Astyanax mexicanus: one gene and its partner. The protein of the gene in region 2 interacts with the protein of the main gene of each other region in a pairwise test. Links are inferred from orthologs where the notes say so. Each region holds a gene or a part of one and is shown on either strand. Other genes may lie near its edges. The genes, in order: nufip1 and fmr1.

Evidence for each region.
Region 1: the proteins of fmr1 (region 2) and nufip1 interact in a two-hybrid assay, tested with the Homo sapiens proteins (2 studies listed by BioGRID). The link is inferred for Astyanax mexicanus from reciprocal best matches to the Homo sapiens genes FMR1 and NUFIP1.

Annotation. Positions count from the first base shown.
Region 1 is NC_064412.1:55,614,790-55,626,851, reverse strand, and holds the start of nufip1 (nuclear fragile X mental retardation-interacting protein 1), read right to left. Parts: upstream 5,517-12,062; 5' UTR 5,371-5,516; coding exon 5,088-5,370; intron 4,392-5,087; coding exon 4,327-4,391; intron 4,193-4,326; coding exon 4,088-4,192; intron 3,853-4,087; coding exon 3,790-3,852; intron 3,342-3,789; coding exon 3,265-3,341; intron 3,145-3,264; coding exon 3,052-3,144; intron 2,565-3,051; coding exon 2,389-2,564; intron 2,294-2,388; coding exon 2,159-2,293; intron 1,513-2,158; coding exon 1,232-1,512; intron 669-1,231; coding exon 1-668. Other genes in the region: dTDP-D-glucose 4,6-dehydratase, read right to left, coding at 6,770-6,918, 7,068-7,165, 7,612-7,667, 8,045-8,210, 8,295-8,338, 8,422-8,481, 8,576-8,674, 9,030-9,172 and 4 more. UniProt on the Homo sapiens protein: Binds RNA.
Region 2 is NC_064417.1:21,671,378-21,683,142, reverse strand, and holds the start of fmr1 (synaptic functional regulator FMR1), read right to left. Parts: upstream 5,434-11,765; 5' UTR 5,175-5,433; coding exon 5,124-5,174; intron 2,720-5,123; coding exon 2,667-2,719; intron 1,333-2,666; coding exon 1,239-1,332; intron 1,118-1,238; coding exon 1,046-1,117; intron 1-1,045.

The DNA of each region.
Region 1 (12,062 bases), on a different chromosome or scaffold from region 2:
TCTTTAGGCATTTTTGCCTCATCGTGCTCAGCTGCCTCTTCAGCCAATGAAACATTACACTCGTTCTTAAGTCCTTGGAGTGTAATATTTTCTTGAATAGACTGCTGGGATGTGTGTTCATTAGAACTCGAGCTCATTGAAACCTTTAAATCCTCCTGCTGTGGTGCATTTTGTGATGTATGGCAGTGCTCATACAGATCTACTATGTCTGTGGGCTTGCTGGATTGATCTTCATCCTGTGGTAGCTTGCTGGAACATTTATCAGCTAGTGAGCTATTCACATTTAAAACTGGAAGTCCCTTTGGCTGATGGGTTTCTGATAGGCTTCGAATAACTCTACTGGAGTCCGCCCTACTGCAGAGCTTTAGATCTTCTGTGTAATGTCTCTGGTTATCCGGTGACTCAAAGGAAAGTTTCTTTTCCTGTGTCTGACTTGCCTGACAACCATTCACCACAAGCGAACGCTGTGTTTCAGTGACACTTCCCTCTGTTACACCACTTCCACAGTCCTCTTTATCAGTCATCAGTCCATTCGTACTTACTGCTGCAGTTTCAGACATCATTGGGTTACAGTTATCAGAAGCGAGTCCGAAGAATCCTTTACGCACAATAAAGCGAATGCACTGAAGCACAACGTTTCTTTCATGGCGAATGTCGGAAGCCAACAACTGCAAGAAATAATAAAAAAAGATTATATATAACATTAACAATAAAACTTAACAGTTCAAATTATGATCATACCAAATAGAGCATCTTGATACAGGGTCCATACTCTTTTTAACCAATACATTTTCATGATTGTTTTCATGATTTTCCATGCCTTAATGGCAAAGTTTCATGACCATCATTACATTTTTTAAACCATCAGAGCAGACCAAAATCCAACTAAAACTATAATGAAAACTGATTATAGTAGGTCTAAAATCAACACAATCTTCAATAATAAAATGTGTGTCAGATTTTGAGAGCTCCATTGTAAAGGGCTAAATTACTGAATTAACTCTGAGCTGACATATTTGTTCGCTCAAAATAGATGTTCTTCGTTGATAAACAGAACAGAGTTTTTTATTTTTTCAAAACGTATCCAGGCCTGGTAATTTTTATTAATTTATTTATTTTTCAAATTCCATGACTTTTCCAAGTTTTTTCATGACTGTATGAACCCTGTTGATAAAATCAATTAAGACTAAAACATACATTATATATATATTAGCTTGTCGATTATCCTTACCATCTCTAAAAGGGTGTGGCGACGGTTCTGTGGAACACTGGTGGGGTTATTACCACCTCTTCCACCCCTACCACGACCACGGCCACGCCCCCTTTTGCCTCTGCCACACCACCTGTTTCTCTGGTCTGAGACAGGATAAGGTGCTTGGTGGTCAGTCTCAGATTGCCTGATTGGTGGTTCCTTGTTAAGACTCTGTGCACTGTACTGAGCAGGAACAGAAAGACCTGCCAGCAAGGCCTTGTTCTCCTCCAAAGCCTGAGCTGTTTTCAAGAGAGGGGAATCTAAAATTGAGAAAAAAAATAACATCAACCAACACAGAAATCTATCAAACCAATACAAAAACATAGGGAAAAATGAACATTAGTGGAGAAAAAGATCAGTTACTAGGAAAAAAGGAAAGTTACTGTAGGAACACATGCAATATAGAAAAAAGAAACAACGATAATCTACAAATTTTAAGCAAACTGATGCCATAATGTTTTTTTGTGCAGTCCTTGATTCACTATTAACCACTAATATAAAACTATAATAGAATAAGCTTCAAAGAAAATGAAACCACACCGGTTAGGCAAACAGAGTCGACATTTAGTTAGAGAGAGGGTGACATCATCTCTCTATTTGCTCTCTCAGATTCAAGTCATGTCTTTTCTCTCAGTACCAGCCTTTCAGAAACTACTGTACTGCAACCTGAGCTTATCAACATTTGTATTGCTGACTAAAGTAATGGGACTACAGCTAAGGGCATACACTGTTCAGTGAGCACTGCAGCAGCATTGTGCTGGTATTTTGTTCACACACTGAGAGAGACTCACTTCCCACACACAGGTTAGGGTTTTTTATTTTATTTTATACATTAATACCCTTGCTTCAAATGGTGTGCTCACTAAAATTTTAACATGTTAGAAATGGCATTAATCGCTCACTCACTATCTGATTCTTCCTCGCTCTCGGTCATGTCTCCTCCATAGCTGGACATCAGTGATCCCAGAGCAGAAGTCATATTTTTGGGCGCCACAGAAATGGATGCTTTCGTCTCCTTCACAGGTTCTTCTTTTTCAGAATCTAAAAAAAGAAAAGAAAAAAGGACACCAAAAGAACAAGTCATTTTAGAATGACTAAGGATGATGCTTTTGGGAAGAAGTGTCTCGAGAGCTAACCTGGGTCACTGTTGGCCAGAACTCCAAGAGGATCTCCATCTGGGTGAGGACGTACAGGAGCTGGTGGCTGCTGCTGCTGCTGCTGCTGCTGCGCATTTGCTGGTTGTACATGTTGCTGGCCACTATATGCACCTCGGCTCTGATTCTGGACGTGTCCACCACGACTTTTAAAATTACTGAAGCGATAAATAAAAACATGTATAGTTATAAGCAGGTCACTTTTTATCAGCTAACGCGAAAACTGCCATGTGGCTCCATCTGCCTAATGGTATTTACTAGCGTCATTCCCAAAGTACACTGCCATGCCAAGACGTCATAGGACAGAAACTAAGAGTACCATACCCCAAGACTTTCCCCATGTTCCACACAAGTTAATGAGCATTGCACTCCCAGTTTGCATGTGACCCTCGTGACCCCAGTGTTCTACTTCACTTACAAGATAACACCTCACAACTTATACAGCTTTAGGTATTCACAGGCTGCCTCTACCTGACAGGTAGAATATTATAACTAAGGTGCACCAGATTATAAGCTACACTGATGATATTTGGGAAAATAAAAGGATTTTAAATGCGCCTTATAGTCCGGAAAATACGGAACTGTTATCCCATGACTTTTGGCATGTGAGTGTAAATACCACATAGTTAATTGACAGGTAATTACCCAAACTGGGCAGTCTCCAGCACATCTCCCCTTTGTGCTTTAACCTCCATGGCCTTAATTTTCCTCTCCACGTTGCTCAGGGTTGGGTAGTTTCTGTAAGGTAGGACATATTACGGTGTGGTGAATCATTACTGCAGGTTGACAACATTTACCTCCACAATTAAATAAAAGTAGTAAGAGTAATTTCGGAAAAAAGGGAGGGAATGATCATACTTTCTCCTTTCCTCTCTCCATTTTGCAATCTCCTCTGCAGTGTCCAATTTGATTCGCTTTGCTCCAGGAGCATGGTTCTGAAATACAACACACAACAATGACAGGGTATTTAAATCACATAAACTCTGCCAATTCAGCCAAAACATTAACACCATCTCCTAGTTTCTCCTTGTTCAAAGTCTTTCAAGCATAGACTTCATAGTTCTATAATTACAGACTGTAGTTCTGTATCTGTTTCCCTCTATACTTTATTATTCTCCTGCTTTCACCCTGTTTTTTAATACTGAGAAACCCACAGCAGAGAAAAAAAACACTGAGCAGCTATTAATAATAATAATAATAATAATAATAATAATTTTACTATTTGGGTGGTGGGTCATTATTCTCAGACATTAGTCTGGATATTCAGGTGAGAAAATGCCTTTTGTGCCACCCGTGCCGCTATAATGAACCCTCTTTATTTATTGCAGTTTTCATTTGTAATTATATCTGTAGGTACAAACAAGACTGAATAAGAGCACTTACATTTCTCCAATGGATTTGGACGAGCTTCTCATGCGCAGTAAATGTGCAATCCTCAACTGAGCACTGAAAACAGAACATAATAATACATCACATTTTGTGGTTCTACTTTAAAAAAAACAATCTATTCTTGAAATTGGAAAAAATAAAAATGGGCAGTTCATGTAAATGTAATTTACAGAGAATATGTAGGCCTGTCACAATGCCACAATGGAAATGCCAGTGCTATAGATAATAGCAAAATAAATTTACTTTACTATTTACTTTGAATTACTAAGAATATTCAAACTATTTACCTTACCTTCACATGCTGGGCAATGTGCTCATCATACTTGGTTTTGTTTTTAAAGCCTCGATCACAAGTGTCACAGAAGTGACTGAACTCTGGTTCTTTCTGCTTTTTCTGCTGAAATAAATAAAACACAGTGTGTTTACTAGCTTGTACTTGTTATTTATTCACAGCATGCTCACAAATAGATAGAGAAATGACACAGAAACATGATTTTACATGATCAGATGTACAGGAAAAAGATTTCTTACCTTTTTACCCCACTGGTTTTGGCCGTGGCCTTGCCGTCCATATCGATTATTATTATGATGCGGACCTGTAAAGATTTTAACAGAACTGTTAAAGGTCTGAAAGGCCACACACCGACTGAGCTGATAAAACATTAGCTGGTAACACATACACACATAAAAAGCTTGTTTAAAGTTTAAAGTTAGGGAAAGGATATGATCATTTTTAAGCATCTTGGATTTTGATTAAAAATATTTTGTTATTTAAAATGTACTGTAATAATGATCTAAAACATAGTTACTTGAAAATATGCTGTTTCCTGAAGTTTCTACAGCCAATTAAATTCATTGATGACTAGGAGTGTGAACCACAGGGCAACAAGGGAGTCTATATGTTTTAATAAAAGATATTTGATGCCATGTATTGATACAATACTAATGAAACAATGCAATATACTGCAATATTATATAATATATAATATTGTACCACTGCTAGTGATGACCCTATGTATTCACAAAAAGCCACTTATGCCATATGCTCTTTTATTACAGAGGTGGACTAATGTAATGTTAGGAGTCTAGCTCAAGTGCTTTTATGGGTGTATCACAGTATAGTCACCCAGAACAGGAATTAAACCCCAATCTCCAGCATGATATGGTAGCTCACTGGCAGATAGTGGTGTTATCCACTGCACCATACCATCCACTGTACTGTACTGTACTGTACTGTAGATAGCTATATTATATCAGGCCTGTGTGTTGTTGTGTTTTTCATGGTCTCTCACCTGGATATCGATGCTGCCCGTAGTTCTGATAGTACGGATGTTGGTACCCGCTGTAGGGAGCAGTGGGGTAGGGGGTCCAGGGATCTGCTGCTGCGGGAGCTGCTGGAGGAGCAGTCGGGCTCCAGCTCCAGTCTCTGGAAGCCTGGAACTTGTCTGGAGCTGCTCCTGATGCTGGTGCTGCTGGTTGTTGTTGGGGGCTCCAGTGGAAGGTCGGTGGTCTGAGGAGAGCTCCCTGAGCTGGAGAGCTGAAATCCGGGGGCGGGTAACTCCCAGACTCCGACATGACCACTGTCACCTTTTACACAAATAAATAAACCTCTCAAAACTCTCTAAACTCCTGTATAAACTCACCAGAACTCTCACATGGCTCTGCCTCTTCACGCTTTCCTACACACGTGCTACTCAAACCCGGCGTCACTTCCGGGTAAAATTATACACAACAGCCGCTCCGAACAGCAGAGGGCGCTGTAGCGCTAAAAACTGAGCACATGCTGTATATATGGGGAAAGTGCGCATGCGCATGTACGAAAATACGGTCAGTGTAACATTTATTAATTTAATTTCTAACCTTTTGAAGCTAAATGCAAAAATAGAACATTGGGTATAAAACTTCATTATTATTTTTTTCCATTTACTTTGGTGAGAAATAAACTGACTTGTTTTTCCGAGTTTTTCATTTCTGCTTTTTGCTAATAGAATTGAAAAAAAAAAAAATCTCTCAATTTTCTATTTTTTTTTAGTTTTCCCATTTTTGCAATAACTTTTGTTACAAGGTGAAAAAATCAGAAAATTAAGATAAGATTCATTTTTTTTTAAACTTTCCTGAAATTCTAATTGTGAGATGCAGAAATACAAATTATGAAAACCCATACAAAAATATGAAAACCCATTTCTTCTGTACTACACAAAATGGTTAAAATAAAAAAAATAAAAAGTTTTACTGTCAGTGTAACCTTTATTAGTTTAATTTTCTGACTGTTCAAGGCTAAAAGCAAAAATAGAAAATTGTATGTGAAAAACCCATTATTATTTTTTTTTTGTACAAGAAATAAGTTTTCATGCATTGTACAACATTGTAGCAACAATGCAAGAATTTAGGGATTGCTGGGCTTTAGGTCATTGTAAATGATTTGATTAAAAAAGAGACATTTAATGAACAGCCATGTACACATCAGACTAACAGTGAGCAGAGATAACATACAATGAGAGCACATTGTATTTATTTATGGTTTTATTAGTCTTTGGTAAATTCACAACAGTTTGTTTAACACTCTTGGACATGGATGACTCAGACTCAGTCAAGGACTTCCCATTTACTAACTATAGAATGTCATGATTTATGGCATTGTTTCAATACACAATATTGAGGTATTTGGCTGAATCTCAGAATTTATATCTTCTTATATTTCCTCTCACTTCAAATATGAAGCAGATAACAGTCCATTACTGTTCCCAGATAATTAGATTTCTTACAGTGTGTTTCACAAATGAACATTTCATATATATATTATAAAAAACAAAAGTTGATATAAAGATGACTGATGTTATGTAAAACTTTGTCCATTTATGCTGTTTTTATGGTGGATGTCATTTGTAACACAGCTGTTGTCCAGTTAAAAAAAACACAATGTCTGAATGTAAAATAAGTCTTTAGTACGTACAAAATGTTCAATCAATTTTAACTACAACTTGGTGGATAAAAAGCTTTTTGAGAAAGTGTTTTTTGCCGTTTCACTGTGAAGTGAGTGATGGGTCACAGTCAGTGGAGCTCCTTGATGCTTCTTTTCTGTGACCACTGGCCAGTAGCCTGCATTCTCTTCATACCACTTAACTGGAAGACAGGAGACACAAATTATACATTAGAACATATTAGAACCCCCCCCCCTCCCCTATGTTAACTAATAGAACAAGGCACAAGCCCTGTTACCCATTCTCAGATCAAATCAATAAAAAGGTAATGAGAATTTTCAGGCTTCTTACTTGTCCTTCTGATTCCCTCCTTCCATGGAACCTTAGGCTTCCAACCAAGTTTGTGCATCTTGTCTGAGATCATTGGGTATCTTAAGTCACTGACAGGTCTATAATATGAAAAACAACCTTATAAAAGCAAAAGTTATTATAATATAAAAAGAGAGAAACTTAAATACCACATATAGTGTTATGCAGCAGTTTGAGCACACCTGGTAAAATTACATGAAATTCTTTATTCTTTAAAAAAATCTATGTCTGTATATTTTAATACAGTTACTCTTTATTTGCTGAATGTAAACCCTTTGTTAAAAAAAGGTTTACCATTGTTTAAAGTAACAGTTCTTAAGTGTTTGGTGAAAATGTGTAACTGCAGTACTTTGTTGTATTTTATTGTGGTGCAATACAACTGCTCCACAGTTTGTATTACTTACAGGAAATGGAGCTTTAGAATAAATTAGAATAAATAAACAACAATAATAATGAATTAAAAAATCATATATTTTGTCAAGGAGTGCCCAAACCTGTAGGTTACCAGAGCTTTTCTTTTACACACCTGTCCTCAACAAACAGCAGCCAGTTATCCAGATCATCAGTAGATGCATTCTTCACCTTCAAAAAAAATTAAATAAATAAATAAAATTAAATAAATAAATAAATAAAAATCACTCCAAAGACATAGACATTTTAAATGAGATGAATAACATTTAATCTGTGACTAAAACCTATATATTTCTCTATTTTCTATGAATTTACATGACGGTCTACTTTAGTTTCAAACTTTTAAATATTTTTATGCTACCAATATAAATTTAAATATAAATAAATTTGTACTCCTGGAATCCTTGATGGTGTATCCATTTCTTTAGCATAGTGATTTTCTGGTCCTATCTTGTTACTCCAATATTGCATTTTTGTTTAAGTTTCTGCAGTACATTATATGATATATTTTACATGTTTCAAAAATAAAAGCTGACAATGGAACCTACCAACTGTACAAGCTCTCTAGCCAGGTGGATGATGGGAATCTCAAAGTTGGCACCGATGTTGTAAATCTCTCCCAGGACGCCTTGTTCCATCAGGATGAGAAGAGCATCCGTGACATCATCAACGTGAAGAAAGTGACGGGACTGAAGGCCTGTTCCCTGAATAGTGCTATAAAGAGAGAACAGGATTTGATTACAAACAAAAAACGCAACATAAATGGTGTAAAGTTTGTTAAAAGCTAAATATGCTTACCACTTTTGGTCCTGTTGTAGAAGTAACAAAAATTTTGGAATAACCTGAAGAATAAGCAGGGAAAAAACGTTTATATCACCACTTAATAAAATGGTGGTGTGGAAGAATGATAGAACTACCTGCATACCTTTTCATGATACTGTCTTGGTCCGTACACATTACTGCTCCTGGTTATTAAAATGGGAAACTAAAATGCAAAATTACAAAATGAGGAATATTATCAAATTGAAAATAAAAGGAAACAATAAATCACCAATAATTCAAAATCATAATTTTATTACCTTGTGCTTTTCCCAGTATGATAACACAATGTTTTCAGCAACAGCTTTTGATGCTGAATATGGATTGGTTGGCTTTTTTGGACTCAACTCATCAAATTCCTGTGAACATTACATGTTTGATAAATTCTAATTGTAACAGAAATTATTAAAAAAAACATTGAAATAATTTCCTAAACTTTTAAAAATAATTTTAAAATCAATATTATCCTGAGTACAAATCAAAAATGTAATGTTCTCCAAACCTTTTGTTTTTTTATGGTTCTCTAGTTTTTATGTCTATTTTAAAGCTTGCAGAATTTACAGTTGATAACTCAGAGAGTTATCAACTGTAGAGAGTGAACAGGGTGTCCAGGTGTTCTTTATGAGAGCCTTAACAGGAATAAATTGTACTGCAGAGTAAAAGGGGATTTGTATAACTACACCTAAAAGGTTAAACATCTAAAATGACACTGACCTTGTCCAGACTGTCTCCATAAACCTCATCAGTGCTCACGTATATAAACCTTTCCACTCCAGCTTCAAACGCTGCTCTGAGCACTACATGTGTACCTTCAGCGTTCACGTGCATGAACTGAGACGGATACAGGAAAGAGTTATCTGAGATAGAAAAGAAAAAAGAGAGGAGAGTAATCTGAACAACATTCGCCTGATTCACTGAACATCACTGATATATTACCTATAACAACCAGAAGGATTCATATCTAAATCAATAATTACTCACCAACATGAGACTGAGCAGCACAGTGAAACACAATGTCGATATTCTCAGTAGAAAACAGATGATTAATGAAGTATTGGTCACATATGTCTCCCTGTGAAGAAAGAGAGGCAAAATGAATCAGCATTAGGAAAAAAGGAAATATTATAATATTTTATAATCACTGCTTACTTAAAAACTCAACCCTCTCAGTAACGATAAGTATAAAATGGAGTTGGACAATATGGCCAATAAATAATATCATAATATTTTTTTTATAATAATCATAATAATTAAACCTTTGTCTATTCTGTCAACAACAGTACGTTACCAAGACTTTGTACAGATTTTGTATAAAATTATAATAATAATGTAACAAGATAAATAATGAATATAAACAACACAAAATATCATTAAAGCTTTAAAGTAAACAATAAAAATACAAAATACTTTCATTATCAATCTCAATATTACTGTGTCATGAAATATTGTGCTTGAAATGAAATTGCACACCCTAATTACAGAAATATTGCTTTTGATATTCACTGAGCAAATATTGTCTGGGGAAAATTATACATCACAAAATCACAAATGTGAATTACGCAGTATTGAGACTTGATTATCTGATTGTGGTATCTTAAATAAAGACAGAAAAACACGCATATCATGAGGGCCCCAAAATTGCCATGATGAAAAAGAAAAACACAAAAAAAGACACATTTATTTATTTTGGTTGGTATATATTTTTTTTATTATTGATATATAAACTACTGTTTATGATTTTGTCTCAGAGTGAAGAAGGAATATTATATAACAGTTCTCACATTAAATCTTACCTGAATGAATTTGTATGTACTTGTGTTCTTAAGACATTCGAGGTTCTTCAGGCTTGAGCAGTACTGCAACTAAAACAGATTATATACATTATATTATACACATTATTACAATATACACACAAATTATACACATTACTTACACTCAATTACACACAGACAGTATAATTAACAATTAAATAGACTTACTGAGTCAATATTTATTATCCTCCACAGTGGATATCTTGCAGCCAGGAGGATGATGAGGTGCGACCCTCTAATAGATCAAAAAATCATATCAAATATTAACATAGGTGTACAGGTGAGTGAACACGAGGGTCCAGAGTTAAGATATAGGTTAACTGATTAATAGATAATTCTCCTATACAGTACTATAACCTACAGTCTGTGTGAAGCAGAGAAAGAGCACTAGGATTTAGGAGGATTTACTTTTTGCAATTTCGAGAAAGCAAAACAATCAAGTAATGTAAAAAAATGTGGTTAAATATTTAATTCCATTAATAAATAAATTAATGAATAAATGAATTAAATCAGCACTTACATGAATCCAGCTCCTCCAGTCACAAGAACAGTCTTCCTACAGTCCAGCTCCAGCTTCTCCTCTCTCTCTGACATTGCTGCTTATTAATTTGAGGGAAAACTCTTGCAAATATTCACATTTTTATTAATTAAGAGCTATTTTTCTGCATTATTTAGCCCCAGCATGACAAATAATCTATGACAGCTCTCTAAGCTAACTTAGTTAAGATGGAACGCCAGTTATCTAGCTTCAAACCCTGTAAAACGCTGAGATATTAATGCCACAGCACAAGTAAGCATAATTACCTGTATAATACTCGTCATTTTTTACATGATTAACGTTTAAATTAAACTGTTAAAGCAGAATCATGATTAAACAGCCGCTAACACTAACTAACTGCTCACATAACAAAATACCCAAACACTTTGCGACACTGTGGAACGCTTTGCGGCAGTGCTGACACGTATCATACCAGCTGCATGCGTTACCACAGAAACTTCAGAGAGGAGAATTCCCACTGCAGTGTGTGTTCCGGGTTCTTCATGTGGAGCAATTAAAGAGTAACTAAACCCCCTGATTTTAGCTGACTGGCTAAAAAGGCAAAAAAAAGGAAAGAGTAGTTGGGAGGGGCACTGGGTGATGTATGGGTTTAGGGGTGGGACAGGAGGGAACAGCTCACCAGAAAGTCAGCACACATTAGCAGCAATGCTAGCCAGTGCCTTTACTGCCTAACAATAACATTTATTTATTTATTTTTATTTGAAAACTTTAAATTTACAAAATTGTAAGACATTGTTAAGTTATGATACAGCAATGACACATTTACACTATTAAATGTAACAGAATTAATCATAAATTAACTAATACACAAAACAATCATTGAAAACAAACAGACAACAATAAAATATGTCAACACAACTTAGTTAGGTCACTTCATTAGTTGGGTAAAAGATCTTTAGCACTTTAAAATTACATTAATTTTAGGGACTTATATAGTAAAATTTCTTTATAATAGCATATAATATAAAAATATAATTGACAAAATAAGCAAACATTGATTAACAGGTCCACCTTTGGATTCTCTATTATTAAAACAAAAATATAGATATAATTATAATATATTTTTGTCAATTCTGTGTGCTTTTGGTGTTTAGTCAATTTATGAATTTATATTTTTAGAACAGCACGAAAGAGTAAGGGAGCATGAAATAAATGGATATTTGTTTGTTTAACCTGTTGTTTGTTATATAGAAACATGGAAATATATATATATATATATATATATATATATATATATATATATTTTTTTTTTTTTTTAATTATTATTATTTTTTTTTTTTTAGAAAATGCTTTTTTCTACTTTCTAAACCCATACATAACCCAGTGTCCCTTCCAAACTACCATTTCTAGAATTGTTTTTTTCTAGAATTTTTTTTA
Region 2 (11,765 bases):
ACTGCTCTTGGAAAGTTGTACCTAACATTTTTTCCTAATTTCAAGATGAATTGCCTAATAGAAATGCTCTAAAATGAATCAATCAACCGTTATTTTCACTTGAGAATACGTTGAGGGTGACCATCATTTACAATGTTGCCGAGCATTTACAATATAAACGGGAAAGAAAACATTTTATAAGAAATTACAAATAATAAGAAACAAAATAGTATAAAATAATAAATAAAATAAATACTAATTTAAAATCAACATTTAATAAAGCTGAACAAAATACATATGTAAAAAAATCTAAAAAAGACAAACAAATTGACACATAAAAAGTAAATAATTTATAAAATCTAAAATAAATAAAAAAGATAATAATAGTAAAAGTAAAATGAAAAGAATGATAAGAAACGATCAAATTAATAATAATGAACTAAGAAAATAAGAATAAAAAACATTTGAATAAAAAGTAAATAAAAAGTAATAAATAAATGAATGAAATGAAATAAAACAAATTAAAAATGATTAAAAAATATGAAAAAGATAAAGTAATTTAAAATATCGGGATCAGCCTGAGCTCTTAAAAGTTTTCAAGTGGTCCATTTTATCTTTTTGAAGTAGGCTTCTGATATTTAAATGATAAATAATTTTTTTTTTTACACAAACTTAACCTATTGAAACTTCCATTGAAAAACTATTCTGTGAATCTGCCATTATAAAGAATTTAGAGTTGTATCCAATACTGATGGCATACAAAGGTATACATTTCAGCTCATCAGAAATGATTATGGTATTAATGTAGATGAATATGTAAAAGTTCTCCATCCAAGATCAGATTTAGACACAGTCAGCTCATGACGCAGGAAATGGCTAGTCACTCTGAACGCAAAACGCAAAACAGATTAATGTAGGAAACCTCCTACTCCTAGTTGTTATTTTGAAGGTGCCTCACTTTAGCAAAGCTCTGTTAAAGCAGGCACAGTGATGGTAGAGTGCTTATAGCTCAAAGCAGCCGTTTCTCCCCCCACACATCCAACTCAATCATCCTACTATTGCTCACCTCTCCTTTCACCATGCGCACTTTGGCTGCCCACCACCCACATGGCTCCTTGTCATTGGCCCTGGAGTACACCTACAGATCATTCAGGAAAACCAACAGATCTGAGTCAGTTTATGTAGACAACACAGGCTCTGCCAGGCTCTTGCTGGTTACATGTGTATCTGTGGTGTGAACATGTTGTGACTGTACGCACCTCAACATCATCGCTTTCACTGATCTCCTTCTGAACCCCAACAGGGGGAGGAAAGCGAACATCGTGGAACGGAATCTGTCGTTCTGGTTGCCAGCTAAGATGCAAAAAGAAAGAAGAATTAATATTCAGAAAGGTTTTATTAGAAAAGATTAGAATCAGGTTAATTTGTATTTTTTTTTATTAAAGCCTGCAGACTAGGCCTAAATAGATGGGTGATATACAGTATATCATCTGCATAGGGGTTGCAAAAGAAACAGTTTTAGCACCGTAATCATGTGCACGTGCAATAGCTCAAAAACAAAATACCACATATACAACAACAATATATATATATATATATATATATATATATATATTTTTTTTTTTTTTTTTTTTTAACAAACATTTCATGTCATGACATATTGGAATATTGATTTCTGGTGAAAACTCCTGTTATTTTAATATTGCCATATACAGCTCTGGAAAAAAAAATAAGAGGCCACTTAAATTATGAGTTTCTTTGATTTTACTAAATTGAAAAACTCTGGAATGTAATCAAAAAGGAGAACGGATGATCACAAGCCATTAAACCAGGCTGAACTGCTTGAATTTTTGTACTAGGAGTGGCATAAAGTTATCCAAAAGCAGTGTGTAAGACTGGTGGAGGAGGAGGAGAACATGACAAGATGCATAAAAACTGTGATTAAAATCCAAGATTATTCCACCAAATATTCATTTCTGAACTATTAAAACTTTATGAATATGAAGTTGTTTTCTTTGCATTATTTGAAATCTGAAAGCTCTGCATCTTTTTTTTTATTTTTGCCATTTCTCATTTTCTGCAAATAAATGCTCTAAATGAAAATATTTTTATTTGGAATTTGGGGGAAATGTTGTCTGTAGTTTATAGAATAAAACAGCAATGTTTATTTTACTCAAACATATACCTATAAATAGCAAAATGAGAGAAACCGATTCAGAAACTGAAATGGCCTCTTTTTTCCCAGAGCTGTATATCAAAGTCAAAATTATACTGCTATGGCATTTTCCCCCAAAATACTGTGCATTATAAAGTGCATAATAATGTCCATGAAATAATGATACAGTATGATTTACATTCTGAGACTTTGGTTAAGATAACAATGCTTATTTTTAAAGAAGCAGAATAGTTACATTCTTTAGTCAAATACCAAATACAAGTTCCTGTGTTCTTTTTGCACAGAAAAAACACATTTACTTAGAATGAGTCCATTAAGTTTACCATACTGACTCAAATATCATCTGGTACTGATGAGACTGATTTTATCAATACTGCTCAGTGTTTCTACAGACCCTCAGGTGCCACTGAGCTCCACTCAGCAAACAGCACAGCAAAATACACAGCAACCACTTTTCCTACTATGAAAATAAATTATCACTTATATCATCACAAAATAAGTGGATACTCACTTGTTCTCAAAAGCCACAGTGACTGTGTTTTCATGCACATCCTTTATTAAGGCCTGCAAGGAGAAACATTCAGTCAGTTTCTACACTGAAACTACTTTCAATATAAGCAAACAGTTATATACACATAATGTAAATTCCAGTCTTGAAATTCATGAAATGAAGTGATTTTAGAGAACTGCAATGTTAATGAAGATGGCAGAATTAACAGAAGGAGAAGAAGAAAAAATACATTATTTTTTAAAAGTCAATGTAAAAAGATTTTATTTCAATTTTGAGCATTTTATTGGTTCATTTGTCATGTTTTGGACCGCTCATTCCTTTTGAACAATTCATTTTGAGTACAAACAATTATATTGATATGACAAAATCTGAGATACAAGGTTTTTGTTTCTGAAGTTATACTGAAGTGTCTAGGCTAGACTAATTTATAAATGTGTATATAGAATTCACACATCAGGGCATCCCTACTTTTAAATTGCCTGCATGCAAAATGCAGGTTTAGATGTACTCTAAAGCTTGCACTGGGTTGCAGCATTTGAATAGATTCTGAGTAGTGTAGCACATACAAGTGACAACAATATAACCACCTAAAATAGGTGATCTATAGAAAGCACACAAAATGAAAAGGAACACGTTTTGCCCAGTATTCATCATTTTGCACTTTTTTCATCTTTGCCACATTTACAAAGAGCACCACACAATTGAATGACCTATGCTTTAATTAGTATTACATTGTATTCCATTAGTAAATTATGTGTAACATTAGACGACAGCTAAGCAGTAAAGCCAGCAGAAATATGGGGAAACTGAGAATTCTTACAAATGGTTTCTGTCTCTTAGATCTTACTTTAAAATAACAGAATTATATTAGTATATTATTATGACCTGTAATTGTGTTGAGCAAAACATTTTTAATTATCTCATTACAGCACATTACTCCATGCTGGTTACAATCTGATCAAATCAAATTCAGTCTTTCCTATTCATTTGGCCTAACACCAAAAGTGCTTTTTTTTTTTTTTTTTTACATTTTCAGCCCAATAATGTTGGTTGCCAAATACTCAGTGCATCAGTATTTGACTAAGTAAATCCTTCTCCTGTATCCCCTCTTTTTGGAGCTGCTTTACTTAGCTTGCTATATAACTACAAAACATCTACTATATCTAATACATTAAACACAATTAAGATTAAATTTAATTTCATTGTCATTGAAAAAAGTACTAGCCAAAAAAGCTCAATGAAGTTAACATCTAACCAGCAGAAGTGCAAATGATTGAAGATATGAATAAAGAAACTGAATGAACAGCGTGCACATACGGAACCATAAATGGAACAGGTCAAATGCAGCATCAAATGTTGTATAATTGTGTTAAATATAGAAAACATAAAAGTATATTTTCACTGTCCAATGAAAAACATGCATCTCCAAAACAACAACTATACAGGAGAAAGATAAAACCTTCCTAACTTTCAATGGAAGTCAATGTAAAAAGAGTTCATTTGAGGTCATTTCAAAGAAATTCTGGAGGTCCGTTCACAAAGAATTTTTGATAAATTGTAAAGGAACTGTTTTTTTGTTTAAATTATGTCGAAAACTAAAAAAAACAAAAAGGGAGATACGTGTTTTTCATTGTACAGCGACATATACAGATGAGAATATAGAAAAAAGTACACATTTACAATACAACATTTGCCTCCAGTTCTCTTACACTACCATGCTGTATGCACAGATAAGCAGAAGTAATAAGTAATATTAGCACATATAAAATAGCAGTGGCCAGCCAGACAAACAGGATCAGCACTGATCTAATGCCACAAACTTGTACAGAAATGAACAGGTGACACAGTGCTGACTGCTGGCCGCTCAGGACATGCCACACATAGGCTTCAAACACCAGCATAGCAAATGTAGTTAGCTGTAATGATGTGAACAGTCTTTACAATTCAGATAAACAGAATCCTAACTGAAACTGAAAGTCCTAATAATGAACAGAAGCAGATAAACCAGCTAACTATGAAGTCTGAGTCCCAGAATCACACAGTGTGTAGCACAGCCAGCTAACCACCATCCCCTGCAGCTCCCAGCATTACGAGCAATGGCAGCTAGTGGCCTAAAACCAGCCGTCCAGCCATTTTAGGCTTAATGTGAATCAAATGTAGCGCCCGGCTCTGAATTACAGGCTTAAAACAGCGTTTAACTGAAAGCTAGTGCAGACCAGACCCCGGTATACAGCGTTATGAGCGGCTGAACCGAGCTTAATGTACCGCAAACACACGCACTCTCACACAGCTTACATACAGACAGACTGCCCCGGCGGGCCGGGCCTAGCTACCGAGCCTGGACGGCTCCAGCCGCGCACGGAGCCCCGCAGACCCCCAGCGAGGCGCGCTGGGTCCCGGAGACGGAGCTAAACTCGGAAGCAGAGAGATAGAGGGGACGGAACGCAGGAGACTCACCTTATAGAAAGCCCCGCTCGCCCCCCGGACCTCCACCGCCAGCTCGTCCATGGCGCTGCTAGCTGCTGCTGCCCGCAGTGTAACAGTAGCTGCTGCTCTGGGTGTCTGTGGCTGCTGCAGCCGCCGCCGTGTGGTCGCGCCTCCTCCCGCTTCTCCTCTGCTGCAGGGCGGCGCGCTCGGTGCTTCTGTCGCGTTAGGCTGGAGAGCAGGGGGAACAGTGCATGGAGCCCCAGGCCGAGGCTCAGGCTGCTGAGGCTGCTGTTGCTGCTCGTCGCCGCTCCGCTCCGATGTAAACACGGAGACACAGCTCCCTCCTCCCTCCCGCACCTCCACACACACTCACGTGACCCGGAGCTGCGCACTACGTCAGTCCCTCACTCAGTCAGTCAGTCAGTTAGCGCGAGCACGCTCCCCTCATCAAACCCTAACTAATGCTGTCCATACACTAACATTAGATCAGGGGTGTCCAAACTTTTTTTGATGGGGGCCAGAAGGAGAAGTATATTTGAAGTGACGGGCCACAGACTCTGTATTAAAACAAATAATGAAATATACCACTTTTTTTTCCTGATTATTTCATTTACACACCATTTTACTTGACTTACTATCTTTATCTATCTTTGACAGTGTTGTGTAAACTAAGATTTTTCAAATTGATGTTTAATTTCATGATGTCTCTTAATATTAAAAAAAATTAAACAAATTTTACACTCATTTGCCCTTTTTCTGCGCTAAAACTGCTCACTCTCTCCGCTTATAGACTCTTTGCCCCGTTTTTCTGCGCTAAAACTGCACAACCTCGTCGCTTTTAGACTCTTTGGTCCGTTTTTCTGCACTAGAAATAAGCACTCTCTCTGCTTTTAGACTCTTTGGCCCGTTTTTTTGCACTAGAAATGAGCACCCTCTCCGCTTTTAGACTCTTTGGCTGGATTTTCTGCGCTAAAACTGCACAACCTCATCGCTTTTAGACTCTTTGGCCCGTTTTTCTGCGCTAAAACTGCGCACTCTCCGCTTTTATACTCTTTGGCCCGTTTTTCTGTGCTAAAACTGCGCACTCTCTCCGCTTTTATACTCTTTGGCCCGTTTTTGTGCGCTAGAAACGCGCACCCGCTCCGCTTTTAGACTCTTTGGCCCGTTTTTCTGAGCTAGAAACATGCACCCTCTCTGCTTTTAGACTCCTTGTCCCGTTTTCCTGCTATAACTTCACTCTCGCCGCTTTTAGACTCTTTGGCTGTTTTTTTGCGCTAGAAATGCGCACTCTCTCCGCTTTTATACTCTTTGGCCCGTTTTTCTGCGCTAAAACACCTAGCGTTATAAAAACCTGGTTAACAGCGGGCTAACTTTCATTCTATTTCTAAAATACCCCGCGGGCCGTAGTTTGGACACCCCTGCATTAGATGATTTTAGTCTGACACCCTCTCACATCTAAAGACAAGTCACAGACTAAAATTTTGCAAAGGCTGGGGATCACTATTTAAAAGATTGCTAGATTAACGTTACTAGATTCTTTCTAAGATTATTTATCGTGCTTCTGGTAGAGTTTACATACAACACATATTACGTATTAAGTTACAAATAATGTGTATATCAATACTGTGATTTATCAGAGACTCAACTTTTGTCCTTATCAACAATTACATTTTTTTTCACTCTGTTAGTTCTTGATATATGTATATGTATCATAACCTAGAATCGGATTCATCCGCTCTTAAAGTAGACTGCATCACACCTGCCCAGTTTACATTGATTCTTCCGCATGCTTGCTGCAATTACCCATTCTCACCAGAGAGGGCCAAAAACTTAAGCACATCAGCTTTAAAAGTACTAAACAGACACCAAAATACTCTGTGAAGCATTTAGGTGGCTCTTGTCTGTTTTTTAAGGCTGGTAACTCTGATGAATTTATCCCATGCAACAGAGAAAACTCTTGGTCTTACTTTGTTTTCTGGGGCAGTCCTGATGAGAGCCAGTTTCATCATAATGTTTTTGACGTGTGACTGCACTTTAGGATACTTTCAAACTTCTTCAGATTTTTCGGATTGACTGACCTTTATTTCTTAAAGTCATTTTATCTTTACTTAATTTAGTAATTCTTGCAATTGGAGTAATGGATTAGAACATTACTCAAATAGAACTATTCACTGTATACCGATTTACCTCTTAACAACTTTACAACTGATGCTCCCAAACACATTTAGAGGCAAGACATTCTTTAAGTAGTTAATTCTGGATGAGTTCAGCACAGCTGTTAACTGAAAGCCATTCCAGGTCCTTCCAGGACATTTTAATATGTGCAAAGTACCGTCTCAGCAAGAGGTTTGAAAACTGTTTGAAGAATCTAACAGATAAAACATATTCTGATTTGTTTAATACTTTTTGTTTGCTAAATAATTCCATGTTTTTCTTTATAGTTAGGATGAATTTAGTATTAACAGTATTATCTACAATGCAGAAATTTTTCAAATAATGATAAAAGCACTGAATTTAAGGTGTGTTTTGAATATTTGAATATAGGGTTATACTTTAAGGTCTCATCTTAATCTAAAATGACCTATAGTCCTAATTACCTTTAATTTCCTGCTTTAAAGTAAAGACTGATTCCAAGCTATCTATTTTTGTCATTAGAATGTTTCCTGAATGTTACAGTTAACATTCTTAGAAAGTTCAATCTGTCAAGTTTTCTAGATATTATTAGAATTCTTATTATTCTTATATATATATTTTTTATTTAACATTTTAAACATTATGGTATGGTTACTGCAACATCACTTGTTTTAATCGATGTTAAGTTTTGAGAATGTTGCTTTTAATGTTTTTATAATGTTAGTATTCATTTAGATGGGAACATTATGTGAGAAACATTCTAATATCATTTTAATGCAAACCATTATAATTTCACATGTTTTTAGAACGTTTCTGGAACATTATGCCTGTAATGTTAAAAGCTAACCTTCCTGGAACCTTTTTAAAAATAATGCAAAACATTTTCAGTAAGTTTTCTGTTAGCTTGGTATAGGCTTGTAGTTATTAAAAAAAAAAAACATGTATTTACCAAGTGGCATAGTGCACACCATCACTGTCCAATGAAAAACATTTGTCTTCAAATGTGCAGTTTCACAGGAGACAGATAAAGCCTTCTTAACTTTCAATTGAAGTCAATGTAAAAGGAGTTTATTTCAGGTAAGGAAAACAAGACCTTATAATAGTTACATCAACTATTAAATCAAATCAGATTTATTGTAACATCAGAGTGGTACAGGTGAGTGAAAAACTTGGGTGCACAATATTTACAACATAGAGTGGAATAAGTAAATAAAATAGAAAATATACAATTAATGTAATATGCAGTACAAAATAACTTGCACTGTAGATGTAATGTAAAATATAACTGAATATATAGTTATTACAATGCCATATACATGTGCAAATAATCTAGATTATACCACAGTTAGTTTCGACTCTGCAATGTGATTGGCTGAGAGGCGTTCTGTGAGTGCCGTTATCAGCCGGTAATGCTCTCCATGTATTACTCCGCCACATACACGTAACCTAGCAGTGATGCAGTGCTTACATGCCAATCAGCGCAGCTACAAACAGAGCAGCAATGGATCTCTTTTAATTCACATTCAGAGTTTTAAAACCAAACAGATCATATATATTTTTTTCGTTCTTGTTAATTTTCAATCTTTCAATAAACAGTGATAATGGATCTGTGGTATAAACGCAATAAAACACTAAAGGTTCGTGCTATAACGTGTAATATTAGCACTGCTGTGCACGACCGCAGCACAGCAGTGCCAATATTATGTATTATGTATTATGCAATAATACAATGCCCTTTTATGTATTATTGCTTACTGTAAGTATGTGTGCGGAAGTGTGGAGATAATTCAGGTGTAACTAGTATTAGTAACTATGAGTAAAGTGCAGGTACCGAGTGAGTTGTGTGGGAAGTACAATGTGCAGAAAGGATAGGTGCAGTGTGAAGTAAAATGCAGGGTGCAGTGAGTTTGTATGTGATGGCAGTGGTGTGGGTTGGGCAGAACACTGTTCTACTGGCTGTTCAGCAGCCTGGTCACCTGGGGGAAGAAGCTATTTCAGAACCGACTGGTTCTGGTCTTCAAGATTCTGAGCCTCCTTCTACTTGGCAGCTGTGAGAACAGGGAGTGGCTTGGATGGGAGGGGTCCTTCATGATCATTCTAGATTTCCTCAGGTGGTGGTTGGTGTATAAATCCAGAAGGTTTGATAGCTGAACCCCAGTGATGTACTGAGCTGTACGCACTACCCTCTGCAGGGATTCTTTCGCTCAAGAGCAGTACAGTTCCCGTACAAGGTGGTGATGCTGCCGGTCAGGTGTAGAAACTCCTGAAGATGATGGGGTTTAGACCCAACCTCCTTAGCCTTTAATAGGAATCCTGTTATGTTAAAAACTCTAACCCGAATCAATCATTTGCTATTCGATTAGAACACACACTCAGATTGGTGCCATAAGTAAGAAAATAAGTGAGAAAATCATGGTACTGTATATAAGCTGGTAAAATGATGTGTGTGCAGTGATGATGTTCTGTTTAAATGGATATATTTTCTTTAGGAATGTAGATTTCCTCTGTTGTGTTTTGTCTCACTGTGAACGTCACACAGGCTAATGGCGGTAGTAAAGGGCAGTGTGATTGAGATAAGGATAAGGACTTGTTTGTGTCCTTGTTTACAGTGTATCTCTAAATCAGATGTGCTGGTATGGCCTACAGTAGCAGGACTGTGGGGGGAATATGGGCGATTCCATCATTGTGTAATGAGGTGTAAAGTCACTTTGTGGAGATTATTAGAGAATCTGGAGCTGAACTGAGATCTGGGTGGAAGTGAATGTTGCAGACAGTCAATAAGAGGCACATAAGTGATCCATGAGGATCCACACCATTGTGTTCAGTTCTGTTCAAGAATTGGAGTACATTACTGTAGTTTGGATATGTAATGCAAATCAGCAATTTTGCGCATAGTTGTCAAATTTCAAATTTGCATCTTATTTGCATAAATGTAATGGCTAACCACTTTGTTTAAGTCTGTTAGGTAGGGTAACACCTGTTGGAAGAATGTTTAGCAGGTTCCTGTAAAGTTAGCCTGCAACCTTACAGAAGTAATGTTTCAGGAATGTCTCAAAACGAGTGATGTAATAATAGTTTGCATTACAACGTTATTAAAACGTTTCTCTCATAACGTTCCCAGCACACACACACACACACACACACACATTCTCTCTCTCTCTTTTTCTCACATGCTGTCTCCCCCTCCCTCTGTCTTTCTCTCACATGCATGGTCTTTCTCTTCATTTCTCTTTCTCATACTCTCTCACTTGCTATCTCTTTGACTTGCTTTTTTGCTCTCTCTCTTTCTTTCTCTCTCTCTCTCTCTCACACACATACACAAACACTTGCAAGCTCTCTCCCTCTCTCAAACGCTCAATTCCTCTACACTGTAAAACATTTCAAGTTGGTTAAACTCAGCAACATAAGTTCCCCTGCTGCCTTAAAAAGCTCAACTTGATAAAAACCTTTGTATCAACTCAAGATGTTAAGTTAAACAAGTTGTTCAAATACTCATTACTTATTGTTTCAACTTGATGCACTTAGTTAAAACAACTTAAGTGTTTAATTGGTCCTTTTTAAAAAATGATCTGTTTAATCAAATAAACTAAAAAATCATCTTTATTTTAACACACTTTCAAGTTAATAAAACTTAAGTAATATTCACATAACTTATCATTTTAAGTTAACCATGGGTATTCTCAACATATTTAATATATTATTATTTAACTGCCAATACTGACAGTATAACGCTAGGGCAGTATAAGAGTAAACTTGGTAAAGAGTCACTCTGTAGCTCAAAGCCAGCATACTGTGATCACTAAGAACACAGAATTAATTTAATATGCTCTTACAGCCTACAACACTGAGGCCTGCCAATCAATACATATATTATAATACTGCACGCCCAGGACAAGGTAGCTTTGGGCAACAGACAACACAAAGATGGTAAGTAAGGGAGAGGCCACACCCAATATGCAGATATATGGTACCAGGAGCCTATAGGAAAGCTGCATGAACCAACACTGTAGAAAGAGCTAACATTTGGTTGAAATCACATTTTTTTATTCGCTCAACAAACATTTTTAAGTTTTACGGTTGAAAACAATTGAGTTGTACTGGCCGGTGAGTTCACTCAACTTAATAATATTAGTTCTCCTTACTAAAACACAGAATTACTTTTTAGAGTGTTGGTGACTCACGCCGCCCTCAAGGAGTCCGGAGAGAGGCGTGTCCCTCCGCAGCTGAAAGTAATCCCCTTTAGTTTTTTTGCTCCTTGTTATTATTAATTGCTATGCGTTGGTTAAAAAGTGTTTAGCCCAATGTCCCCCCGGTTTTAAAGTTGTAAAAAGTACTCCAGTCTGTTCTAACTTGCTGCCTATCACTCTACCTCTCTGCATTTTCAAATCTTCCTACTTTCCTTTTTTTAACCAATAACTTAAAAACGTAAGTTGAATAAACGTGGGAAAATTTGAATAACTCACAGGAAGTTAAGACAATTTGTTATTTTAAGTTATTTTTATTTAAAACAAAGGAACTTCAATATCCTAAAATTGTCAT